Macaca fascicularis: one gene and its partners. The protein of the gene in region 2 interacts with the protein of the main gene of each other region in a biochemical or structural test. Links are inferred from orthologs where the notes say so. Each region holds a gene or a part of one and is shown on either strand. Other genes may lie near its edges. The genes, in order: OCRL, CLTC and ARRB2.

Region 1 (3,751 bases), on a different chromosome or scaffold from region 2:
TACCTGGCACATAAGCAGTCATTGAGTGTTAGTTATATAGCAACAACTGTATCAGTTGTTAGTTTATATATAAACTATAGTTTATATATATTTAAAACTATATAGTTTATAAACTGTTAATATAGCAACAACTATATTAGTTGTTAGTTATATAGTTGTTAGTTTTATAGTGTTATTTATATATTAGTGTTAGTTATATAGCAACCCCATACCCCCACATATACCCCCAACTATACCCCCATAACTTACACAGAATTGGAACACAAGACTTCCTTATTAGCTCAACAGAGTTCCAAATCTACTAATCCGAGGGACCACCTTCTGGGCTGTGGTCATCTCAGTAATGTAGCTATTCTATTCAATCTTCAGATTTTTGTTTTTACATTAGAGGAAACCAAGGCACAGAAGTTTTACTGGTTTGCTCAAGGGTCACCTCTCTCTAACCCACTCTAGCCTTTGGAAATGTTAGTGGTGTTCCACTTTTCTGCTGAATTTAGTTTTATTAAATTCTGAATTTAGTTTCATTAAACTAGTCTTCCAGGGTTGGATGAAATCTGGGTTTGATGAACTTCCCAATAGAGCTGACTAAGCAGGACCTAGGAAGGAGCTACTTCATAGAACTAGCTGACATCCAGTTACAGTGGCACCAATAGTCTCAGAAAAGAGCAGGTTGGGCCAGTGGGGATTTCTTCCATGTAAATCAGACAGCATAGACACAGAGGATCTAAAAGTGGGGACTGAGGAAATTGGTTTTAGGCAGAACCCAATGTTGGGAGATGGCAAGATTTAAGTGAACAATTTTTAAACTGGGAAGGAATATTATGCCAAGAAGCCAGTGAATATCCAAGGGAGGTGTCTTGGGCACACAGGGATAGGGACCTATGATATGTAAAGGTCACCATGGATACTTTTGAGATGAGGCATTAGTGACAATAGAGGTTAGCAGCTATGGTGATAGCTTATCAAAATAATCTTTTGATCAATCATTCAACAGTATTTACTGAGTTCCTATGTCTAAGGCAGAGAGGAAGGTGACACACTGATAAAATACTGTTATTTCTATCTCTACACATTTCATTACATTTTCTAACAGTCAAATCAGTAAGTGAGGCAGTTTCTGGCCTACACTAAACCATTACTGAATTAATGAATATGCCTTCAAACAAGTGGGATAAGGGGGTAGGGAGACTGGAGAAACCAGCTGAATAGGGTTAAGACAAGTCTGTAACGTGAACAATGAGGCATTTCCATAGCATTTTTACGTTTTGTAAACCACTCTCGCATTTATTTTTCCCCCACTTATAACTCCAAAGGCTATAAGGTAAGGCAGTTAATGGTTTTATTAAACTGAAGAGTTAACTTTGGCCCAGAAAGCTTTATTGACTTGCCCAACGTTACACAACACATGTCAGTTGCAGGGGCAGGAACTAAGAACCCAGGCTTCCTGCTTCCCCGCCCATTCAGTCCTTCCACTGAGCCACACTGCCAAGCAAGATCCAGAGGCTTGGAAGTTGAGGACAAAGCCCCGAGGTTAGAGAGCACTGGCACTTCACACCTGGACCTGAACCTGTTGCCCGTGTGGCCTTAGTAGGAGGACAGTGGGTGACCCGTCGCGGTTTGGGGTTGGGAGGTAATGGCAGGCTCACCTCCTCTGTGGGAATCAGGTGGTTACTTACTCATATTGCCCGTTCCTCTGGGCTAGGGTCAGGGCGCAGGGCTCCCGGAGAGGACCCTTCATCTCCATACCCTCGACAGTATGCGGGCGCTAGTCAAGGGTCTCCTTTGGAAGCGCGGTGGGGAGGAGTGGTGCACTGCGGGGCGAAGGGGGTCTTCCACCCCCCGCCCCGGCCGCCCTCACCCGCCCCGCCCGGCTTCGCCTCCCGCGCCGGCCCCCTCCCCCACTCTGCTTGGCCTCTGGGCCACCCGGTTGCCCCGCCCCGCCGTGTTCCGCAGGGCCCCCGACCCCCACCCGCGGCCCTGCGCGGTCTCCCCTCCCCCTTCTCTCCGGCGGATACGGCAAGGGGCTGGGCTCCGACCGGGAGCGGCGGCTCCATCCAGGCGGCCTCCGGGCTCGGCGGGACAGCGGACTGCGGGCGGATCCGACGACAGTGGCTCCCGAGTCCCCACACCCACCCACCCACCTCGGCTGCGTGTCGTTTGAGGAACCGCTCCGCGCCGGGCGCCGGGCGCCGGGAGCCGGGAGCCGGTAGCGGGGAGCTGGGAGCTGAGAATCTGACCCGAGAGAGAGCGGCGCCTCGCGCCCCCGCCAGTTTTCCAGGCCGCCGCAGATTCCGCTCCCTGCGGCCAACCTGCGGAACTGCAGCGAGAGACCCGACGGACTGGGGGCGTCCCTACTACGTCCAGCAAGGAATGGGGTTTAAATGCCACCTGTGACATCAAAATTGTTCTGAGGACTTTGAAGATGGCCACAGAAACAAAACACAGTCACACCTATGGGGGATCTCAAACCTGTTGTGTCAATACGACCCACATCATCCATATATGAAACAATATATATATAAAATATATAAAATTTGTATATTATATAATATATATTATACATAATATATATTATATATGTAATATTATATATAATATAATATATATTATATATGTAATATTATATATAATATAATATATAATATATGTAATATTATATATAATATAATATATATTATATATGTAATATTATATATATATATTTCTTAAGGTTATAATGCTCTGTGTTGGTTATCCTACCATTTCCCTTCCTCTTCTTTCTTCTATGCCCTATATCAGAGAATTCCCCAAAGCCCAGACCTTTGCTCCTCCTCTGCATCCCCTCCAGGTCACCTCTAACTAGACAATGTCCAAATATATATCCCTGGCCCAGACCTGTTACCTAATAGAGTCCATTGTTAATACATCACTACGTCACAAAACTAACTCATTATCATTTCACTTAAAAGCCATATATTGTCTTCCCCCTCCTAATCTCTATATCCAATCAGTCAACAAACCCTGTTAATATTTTACATGGAATTACTTTTAGATTCCTTATTTTCTTTCCATTCGCACTGCCATAACTTTATTGTAAGCCCTTGTGATAGCCTATCTGGGTTATTGCATTTTTCTTTAAATAAATCCTATTGGGTTTACTCTGTCCTTTGACCTGTTTACTCTGTTGACAACCATAACAATATTTTTCCCAAAGTAATTTTTCGATTGTGTTATTCATTTGTTCCAGAATATATAATACACTAAATATCAAGACTGACTGTAAGTCTGTAGTAATTAAAAGTATACTATGGAGATAGACAATCAATGAAACACAATATAAAGCCCCCAAACAGACCACACATATATGGAAGGTTGATATGCAGCGTGTGGGACATTTCAAATCAGTGGGGAAATAATGGATTATCCACTAAGTGGTAGTAGGACTACTGCTTATCCATATGGAAAACTATAAAATTAGACCCCTACCTCTAACCATGGAAGAAAAATCAATTCTAGGTGGATTAAAGATCTAAATGTGAAAAGCAAAACTTTATAACTCTCAGAAAAAAGCTGAGTATCTTTATGAGCTTGGAATATGGAATGAGAATAAGACATTTAGCTAAATAAAATTTCAAAATGTGTGTACTTCAAGACAATATAAACAAGTTAAAAGACAAACTGGCCTGCACAGTGGCTCATGCCTGTAATCCTAGCACTTTGGGAGGCCAAGGCGGTAGGATCACTTTAGCCCAGGAGTTCAAGACCAGCCTGG
Region 2 (3,651 bases):
CCTCTGCACTCCAGCTTGGATGACAAAGCAAGACCCTGTCTCAAAAAAAAAAAGAAGAAGAAAATGGATAAGCCAGTTATAAAAATTGACAGGTGTTTATTCAAATATGTCATCATCAGGGTCTAACTGGGCACTTTAAATCGAAAATGAATTTGTGCTTTCACAAGTAGTTCTATATTAGCAAGATTTTATAGTAGAAAAAGTCTTTAAATGCTATGAAATTGAAACTTAGAAGCAGCGTTTAAGTCTTTGTTTGTTTATAGGTTGGATACACTCCAGATTGGATATTTCTGCTGAGAAATGTAATGCGAATCAGTCCAGATCAGGGACAGCAGTTTGCCCAAATGTTAGTTCAAGATGAAGAGCCTCTTGCTGACATCACACAGGTAATGTGATTACAATATATTTTGTAGAAGCTGATTGAAATGGAGAGTGGGGGCCAGCCGTGGTGGTTCACGCTTGTAGTCCCAGTACTTTGGGAGACCAAGGTGGGAGGATTGCTTGAGGCCAAGAATTCAAGACCAGTCTGGGCAACATGTGAGACCCTGTAACTACAAAAAATTAAAAAATCAGCTGGGTGTGGTGGCACATGCCTGTTGTCCTAGCTACTCAGGTGGCTGAAGTGGAGGGACAGCTTGAGCCTGGAGGTCCAGTTTGCAGTGAGCTGTGATCATGCCATTGCACTCCAACCTGGGCAACAGAGTGAGACTCTCTTAAAAAGAAAAAAAAAAAAAAAAGAAACTTAGAGTTTGTAGAAATTAAAGCTTTGTCACTCTATATGGATAAACCTCAAATGCCTTGCAAAAAAAAGCAAGTTGCAAAAGAATGGATAATATGAAACCATCTGCATGTAGTTTTAATACATGCAAAACAAACATCTTATTTAGAGATATATATGTATTAAAAATATGAAAAATACATGGGGATGATAAAACAGGATAGTAGTTGCCACTGGGTATGGGGAGAGGGAAGAGATGCATTTGGAAGTGTGAGTCAGAGTCCTTCATATTGTTTATGCTGTTGTTTTTCAAAAGTTTATAAAAATAAAGGTCAGTCTGGGCATGGTGGCTCACGCCTGTAATCCCAGCACTTTGGGAGGCTGAGGTGGGCAGATCACCTGAGGTCAGGAGTTTGAGACCAGCCTAGCCAATATAGCAAAACCCTGTCTCTACTAAAAATAACAAATTATCCAGGTGTGGTGGCAGATGCTTGTAATGCCAGCTGCTTGGGAGCAGAGGCAGGAGAATCGCTTGAACCTGGGAGGCGGAGGTTGCAGTGAGCTGGGATCGTGCCATTGCACTCCAGCCTGGGCAACAAGAGCAAAACTCCGCCTCAAAAAAATAAAATAAAATAATAAAATAAAGGTCTATTGGTTCAATTGTATTCTGCTATTATGTAATATCTTGAAATATTTTGTAGTTTTTATCAGAACTGAAAATAACTGTGTTCTCTAGAGGACAAAAATTTGTTCTTAAAGTGTTCATATTGTCCAAATAAAATTCTCAGGTAAAGAAAGAGCTCGTGCATAATTTTGTCTACATACTCTCCATAGTATCTTAAAACAATTTCTTTTAAATCTATTTTTTTTGTAGATTGTAGATGTCTTTATGGAATACAATCTAATTCAGCAATGTACTGCATTCTTGCTTGATGCTCTGAAGAATAATCGCCCATCTGAAGGTCCTTTACAGACGCGGTTACTTGAGATGAACCTTATGCATGCGCCTCAAGTATGTGTTTTAATGCTTTTTAGGCATGTTTCCAACATTGTTTTAGTAGTTGTGCAGAGCATCTCAGATTGTCATGCAAAGCTACTGAGATGCCTACTCCTTATACAAGAAAATTTAGCTATTATAATATTCTTTTGTACTTTCTTTAACAGTTCACTATTAAACCTTAATCTGTAATGGATGTTGAATTACTCATATAAATGGAGTGGACAATTAACTTTCCTTGTTTGTGGTTTTACAGGTTGCAGATGCTATTCTAGGCAATCAGATGTTCACACATTATGACCGGGCTCACATTGCTCAACTGTGTGAAAAGGCTGGCCTACTGCAGCGTGCATTAGAACACTTCACTGATTTATATGATATAAAACGTGCAGTGGTTCACACCCATCTTCTTAACCCTGAGGTATTTCAGTTTCTTACCTGATAGATGGTGTTAGTTGTGATTAATAGGTACACTGAAAATGTGTTTGTGGTACTAAATATTAATGATTTCATACCACCATGAGGTTCAACGTTATTTCATTTATTCATTCATTCATTTATTTTGTCTTGTAGTGGTTAGTCAACTACTTTGGTTCCTTATCAGTAGAAGACTCCCTAGAATGTCTCAGAGCCATGCTGTCTGCCAACATTCGTCAGAATCTGCAGATCTGTGTTCAAGTGGCTTCTAAATATCATGAACAACTGTCAACTCAGTCTCTGATTGAACTTTTTGAATCTTTCAAGAGTTTTGAAGGTAAGTAGGAGTTTTTGAGTTTTTTTAAAAAGTACTTAAGATAGCCAAGAAGAGGTATGCTTATGATCAGGCTATTGGAAATTTTGTCTTTCTTTCTTTTTTTTTTTTTTTTTTTTGAGACAGAGTCTCGCTCTGTTGCCCAGGCTGGAGTGCAGTGGCCGGATCTCGGCTCACTGCAACCTCTGCTTCCCGGGTTTACGCCATTCTCCTGCCTCAGCCTCCCGAGTAGCTGGGACTACAGGCACCTGCCACCTCGCCTGGCTAGTTTTTTTTGTATTTTTTTAGTAGAGACAGGGTTTCACCATATTAGCCAGGATGGTCTCGATCTCCTGACCTCGTGATCTGCCCGTCTCGGCCTCCCAAAGTGCTGGGATTACAGGCTTGAGCCACCGTGCCTGGCCTGGAAATCTTGTCTTTCTAAAAATTTGTTCTATGGGACATTTTAATTTTTATTCAATAAATGTTGTCAAGGCCCTTTTATGTTGGATCCTAAGGATATGCAGTGAACAAGACCATCTGTTTGGATATTTTATAGATGAATGAAAGGTAGAATTTTAAGAGAAAAATATGTAGTGGTGTTGAAATTGTATAAAATGAAAATACAGGTTGAGTGTCCCTAATCTGAAAATCCAAAATGCACCAAAGCCTGAAACTTTTTGAACACCAACATAATGCTCAAAGGAAATGCTTGTTGGAGCGTTTCAGAAATTGGATTTTCAGATTAGGGATGCTGATCAGGTAATTATAAAGCGAATATTCCAAAGTTGAAAATTTGAAACATGTCTGGTCTCAAGTATTTTGGATAGGGGATACTCAATCTGTACTAATGATCGGGTATAATAACATTTTATGCTTATATGTCTGACTCTTACAATAGCAGGTGATTCTCGCCAAGGGCATTTTGTGATTTGTTGCTATTTAGCAGAATTTCTTAACCTTAGTACTATAGACATTTAAGGCTGGATAATCATTGTAGAGGGGTATTCCTGTAGATGTAGAATATTTAGTAGAATATTTAGCAGCATTCCTGGTTTCTACCCACTAGATGCCAGTAGCGTCAGCTCCACCAGTTGTGACAACCAAAAATGTCTTCAGACATTGCCAGTGTCACCTGTGAGGAAAATCACCTCAGTTGAGAACCACTGCTATGCAGGGAACTAACGTAATCACTGTTGGGTGGCT
Region 3 (3,751 bases), about 42 Mb from region 2:
AACGTGATGAAACCTTGTCTCTATTAAAAATATGAAAAGTAGCTAGGCATTGTGGCAGGCGCCTGTAATCCCAGCTACTCGGGAGGCTGAGCAGAGAAGTGCTTGAACCTGGGAGGCGGAGGTTGCAGTGAGCCGAGATCGCGCCACTGCACTCCAGCCGGGGCAACAGAGCGAGACTCTATCTCAAAAAAAAGAAAACGAAAAAAAACTTCTGCACATCCTTCAGAAAGACTGTCCTCATATGTTCTCCGCTCCACCCCCGCCCGGGCCGAGCGCTGTTAGTGGCTGTGTCTTCTGACTCAGACCTCTGTAATAGCATTCCTGGGTAATACCTGTGTATGTGTCTCCTCAACTATTCTAGGAAGTCAGGGGCCATGGTAATTCATATGTGTCCCCATCGATTGGCATAGTAAATAGCATAAAATAGGCACGGATGGGTGGGTCGATAGATGGACCGATGGGTGCGAGCGAGTGAGTGAGTGGATGTTAGCTGGGATGGGTGGGTGAAGGAGATGGAGAGTCAGAGACATTGGAAAAGGGAACCCTGCGAAAATCAAATGTAGACACCAGGAGGAGCTGACACGCTGCGGTGAAGAAGCGGGAGGGCTGGCCACAGAAGGCGGTACGCTCCGCGTGGAGCAGGTGAGCTGCGCGCACTGAAGCAAGTATCACGCAATTGAACTGCTCACCCACGTGTTCCCCCCCACCATCCTCCTTCCCAGACGGCGCTTCAGCTCATTCCACCGCCCCCAACAGCCCGGTCGCCCCCACCGCCACTGAGAAAGCAAACAAAGGGGAGGAGACCCCTAAAGGTTCTGGATGCCGAGGGCCAATCGAAAGACTTAGATCCCCTGGAAGGCGGGAGCCTTGGTTTAGGGGGGCCCAATCGGTTTCAAGGGGTTGCGGCGGGGCGGGGAGATGGGCGGGAAGAGCGGGAGCGGGCCCCGCGCGCGGGGGAGGGCTCCCCGGCTGGGACGGAACGCGAAGGGTTGGGGGCGGAGCCAATGGCCCTGTGTGTCTGCTAGGAGAGGGCGGGCAGCGCCGCGGCGCGCGCGATCCGGCTGACGCATCTGGCCCCGGTTCCCCCAGACCAGAGCCGGGCCGGGAGGGAGGGGGAAGAGGCGAGAGCGCGGAGGGCGCGCGTGCGCATTGGCGCGGGGAGGAGCAGGGATCTTGGCAGCGGGCGAGGAGGCTGCGAGCGAGCCGCGAACCGAGCGGGCGGCGGGCGCGCGCACCATGGGGGAGAAACCCGGGACCAGGTAAGGGAGGTGGGGCCACGCGGCGGGGCATGGGCGGCGGCTCGGGGCGGGGGCTGGGACGGTCCCAGACGAGGACGCCGCGGAGAGGATCTGGGGGCCGGACGCCTGGGTCCCTAGGGACAGCCATCCGGGGCCGCACGCGCAGGTCCTCGAGGATAATGAGGTTGGGGGGAAATGCCCGGGCCCCTGCAGAAAGCGAGGCCGGAGGGGGATCAGAAAAACCGGTGTCGGGGTTCTCTCAGGGATGTGGGGCCAGACTACTGGGCTCTCCCGTGCCCAGGAGTCTGGGCAGGCTGCGATGCAGGGACGGAGGGAGGAGCAGGTGGCTGGCCCCGAGGGGTCGTGTACGGGGAGGCTGGATGCTGGGAGGGGGATCCCCTCCAGACTCGTGCCAAGCCAATGCAAAGCCTCCTGTCCAATATCCCCCAGGTAGTCGCGCTGCCCACACCTGTCCCGAGGGCCGGGTGGCTCCTCATCCAAACTTCTACCTTCCCCTGGGTTGCCAGGAGCAACAACAGCTTCATCTTGGGAGAGCCTGACCCTTCCTGAAACTAGATCGGATCCCTCTCCCTGGGGGTGGGGGAGGCAGTATTCACGCTGGGCGCGCGTCCACTCCCCGGATGTTTTCTGTGCAATCGAGGCTCTTTCCTTCCACTGATACCCCGAGTTCTCTTTTTTGGTCTCTAGCAAAATCCACTTCCTGTTGTGACTCAACACCCCCAAGGGGTAAGGGGTGAATGCCTGAGTCCCAGGGGAGCAGGAGCAAAAGACAGAAAGGTTGGGGCTGTAGGCCTCAACCCAGAGGGGATCGGGAATAGGGAATTGGTCCTGAGCTCTGGCTTGCTCTGCAAAGCATCATATCGACCCCACTTCCAACCTATAGAGTAGGAGAACCCAGGTTTCTGAGCGTCAAGTAGATGAGTATCAGAAAGAGATCATCAGAGAGATGATCGGTGTCCTGGATTAGGGTTTAAACATCCCAGAGAAAGGGGAAGTTGCTGCCTTGTGGGAGGCCCCTGATTTCCGTTATGTGGTTCAAGGAGTGGGACAGATGGACCAAAGGGGACTGCTGACTTGACCCAATTTCCCTCACCTCCATCAAATTCTGGGCCACAGGAAATGGAGAGAATAGCAGGAAGTGTGAAAGGACATCTGCTTCAGCTACCCCTGCCCCCATTGGGCACCTCCCTGGTCATCCCCACACTCTGCCTCCTTGGCCAGCCTAGTATCTGCACGCTGCTCCTCCTCAGCCTGGCAGGAGGTGGCTGGGTTAGGATCCAAAGGGCAGGTGCCTTGCAGCTGCTCCAGGGCAGTTGCCCCAGAGCCACACTGCAGTTGGCCCACTGACTGTGGCTGTCACAGCCCTGTGCCAGGGCTCCTAATGGGAGGACACCCTGGGACAAAGAGGAAAACCAGAAGCAAAGGGGAGGGAGAGCCTGGATGATGCCACAGCACTCAGCCCCCAAGTTGGGACAAAAGATAGGATGTTTATTCTAGCTGCCACCGTATCGATGTTTATTCTCTTTTATTGGTTAGGAATACCTGGGAGCCTCCATACCCTTTACCTTATAATCTTTGGACAGCTTGGCTTTCTGGGAAGAAGGGACAAGTGAAGTTGTAGCAGAAACTGGGCCTATGGTAGAAACCATTTAGGGCCAAAGGCCAGAGTCATTGCTCTCCTATATGCTCCAGCTGTCAGAGCTGTAGACCAGATGGAAAGATGGTTAAGTCTTACCCAGATACTGCGGCAACCTGCCCATTGGGGTCCTCTGGGAATGGGGTGGTAGAGTTGGAGGAGGGATGGGCTAGTTGGCAGGATTTCACGTTCTGCTGTCTATCTGAGGATCCTTTCCAGGGATCACTGCTGAGGCAGAGTGGATTGGAAGGAGTAAGGTGATGCTTCAAAGAATAGGCTCACAATTGGCCAGATCACTGGGATTGCCAAACACTTCCTTACCCTCCCAGCAGTGGGTGGAGTCCAGGCTTAAATTGTTTCAGCAACTGGAAAGCGAATACCCTTCAATTGAACAAACTATTGATGCCAGCTACAGAGACGGATAGTGTAATATTGATTGAGAGGATGGACTCGGAGCCAGACCGCCTTGGTTTCTATTAATTCCCACCATTTACTCTCTCTGTGACCTTAAAACACTTAACCTCTCTCTGCCTCAGTTTCCTCACCTGGAAAATAGAGACATTAGGACCTCCATCACTGGGTAGTTTTATTTTATTTTATTTTTTATTTATTTATTTATTTGAAATGGAGTCTTGCTCTGTCACCCAGGCTGGAGTGCAGTGACGCAATCTTGGCTCACTGCAACCTAAGGCCGGGCGTGGTGGCTCACGCCTGTAATCCCAGCACTTTGGGAGGCTGAGGCGGGTGCATCACCTGAGGTCAGGAGTTGGAGATCAGCCTGGCCAACTTGGGGAAACCTTGTCTCTACTAAAAAACTACAAAATACAGGCCAGACGCCGTGGCTCAAGCCCGTAAT

What was found.
Region 1: the proteins of CLTC (region 2) and OCRL form a complex in vitro, tested with the Homo sapiens proteins (2 studies listed by BioGRID and IntAct, with this or other methods). The link is inferred for Macaca fascicularis from reciprocal best matches to the Homo sapiens genes CLTC and OCRL.
Region 3: the proteins of CLTC (region 2) and ARRB2 form a complex in vitro, tested with the Homo sapiens proteins (3 studies listed by BioGRID and IntAct, with this or other methods). The link is inferred for Macaca fascicularis from reciprocal best matches to the Homo sapiens genes CLTC and ARRB2.

The regions. Positions count from the first base shown.
Region 1 is NC_088395.1:135,811,678-135,815,428, reverse strand, and holds the start of OCRL (inositol polyphosphate 5-phosphatase OCRL), read right to left. Parts: upstream 2,247-3,751; 5' UTR 2,055-2,246; coding exon 2,016-2,054; intron 1,906-2,015; exon of another isoform or gene 1,757-1,905; coding exon 1,677-1,756; intron 1-1,676. UniProt on the Homo sapiens protein: Catalyzes the hydrolysis of the 5-position phosphate of phosphatidylinositol 4,5-bisphosphate (PtdIns(4,5)P2) and phosphatidylinositol-3,4,5-bisphosphate (PtdIns(3,4,5)P3), with the greatest catalytic activity towards PtdIns(4,5)P2.
Region 2 is NC_088390.1:47,042,340-47,045,990, reverse strand, and holds part of CLTC (clathrin heavy chain 1), read left to right. Parts: intron 1-263; coding exon 264-386; intron 387-1,592; coding exon 1,593-1,730; intron 1,731-1,971; coding exon 1,972-2,136; intron 2,137-2,288; coding exon 2,289-2,469; intron 2,470-3,651. UniProt on the Homo sapiens protein: Clathrin is the major protein of the polyhedral coat of coated pits and vesicles. Two different adapter protein complexes link the clathrin lattice either to the plasma membrane or to the trans-Golgi network.
Region 3 is NC_088390.1:4,804,885-4,808,635, forward strand, and holds the start of ARRB2 (beta-arrestin-2), read left to right. Parts: upstream 1-1,265; 5' UTR 1,266-1,288; coding exon 1,289-1,422; intron 1,423-3,751. UniProt on the Homo sapiens protein: Functions in regulating agonist-mediated G-protein coupled receptor (GPCR) signaling by mediating both receptor desensitization and resensitization processes.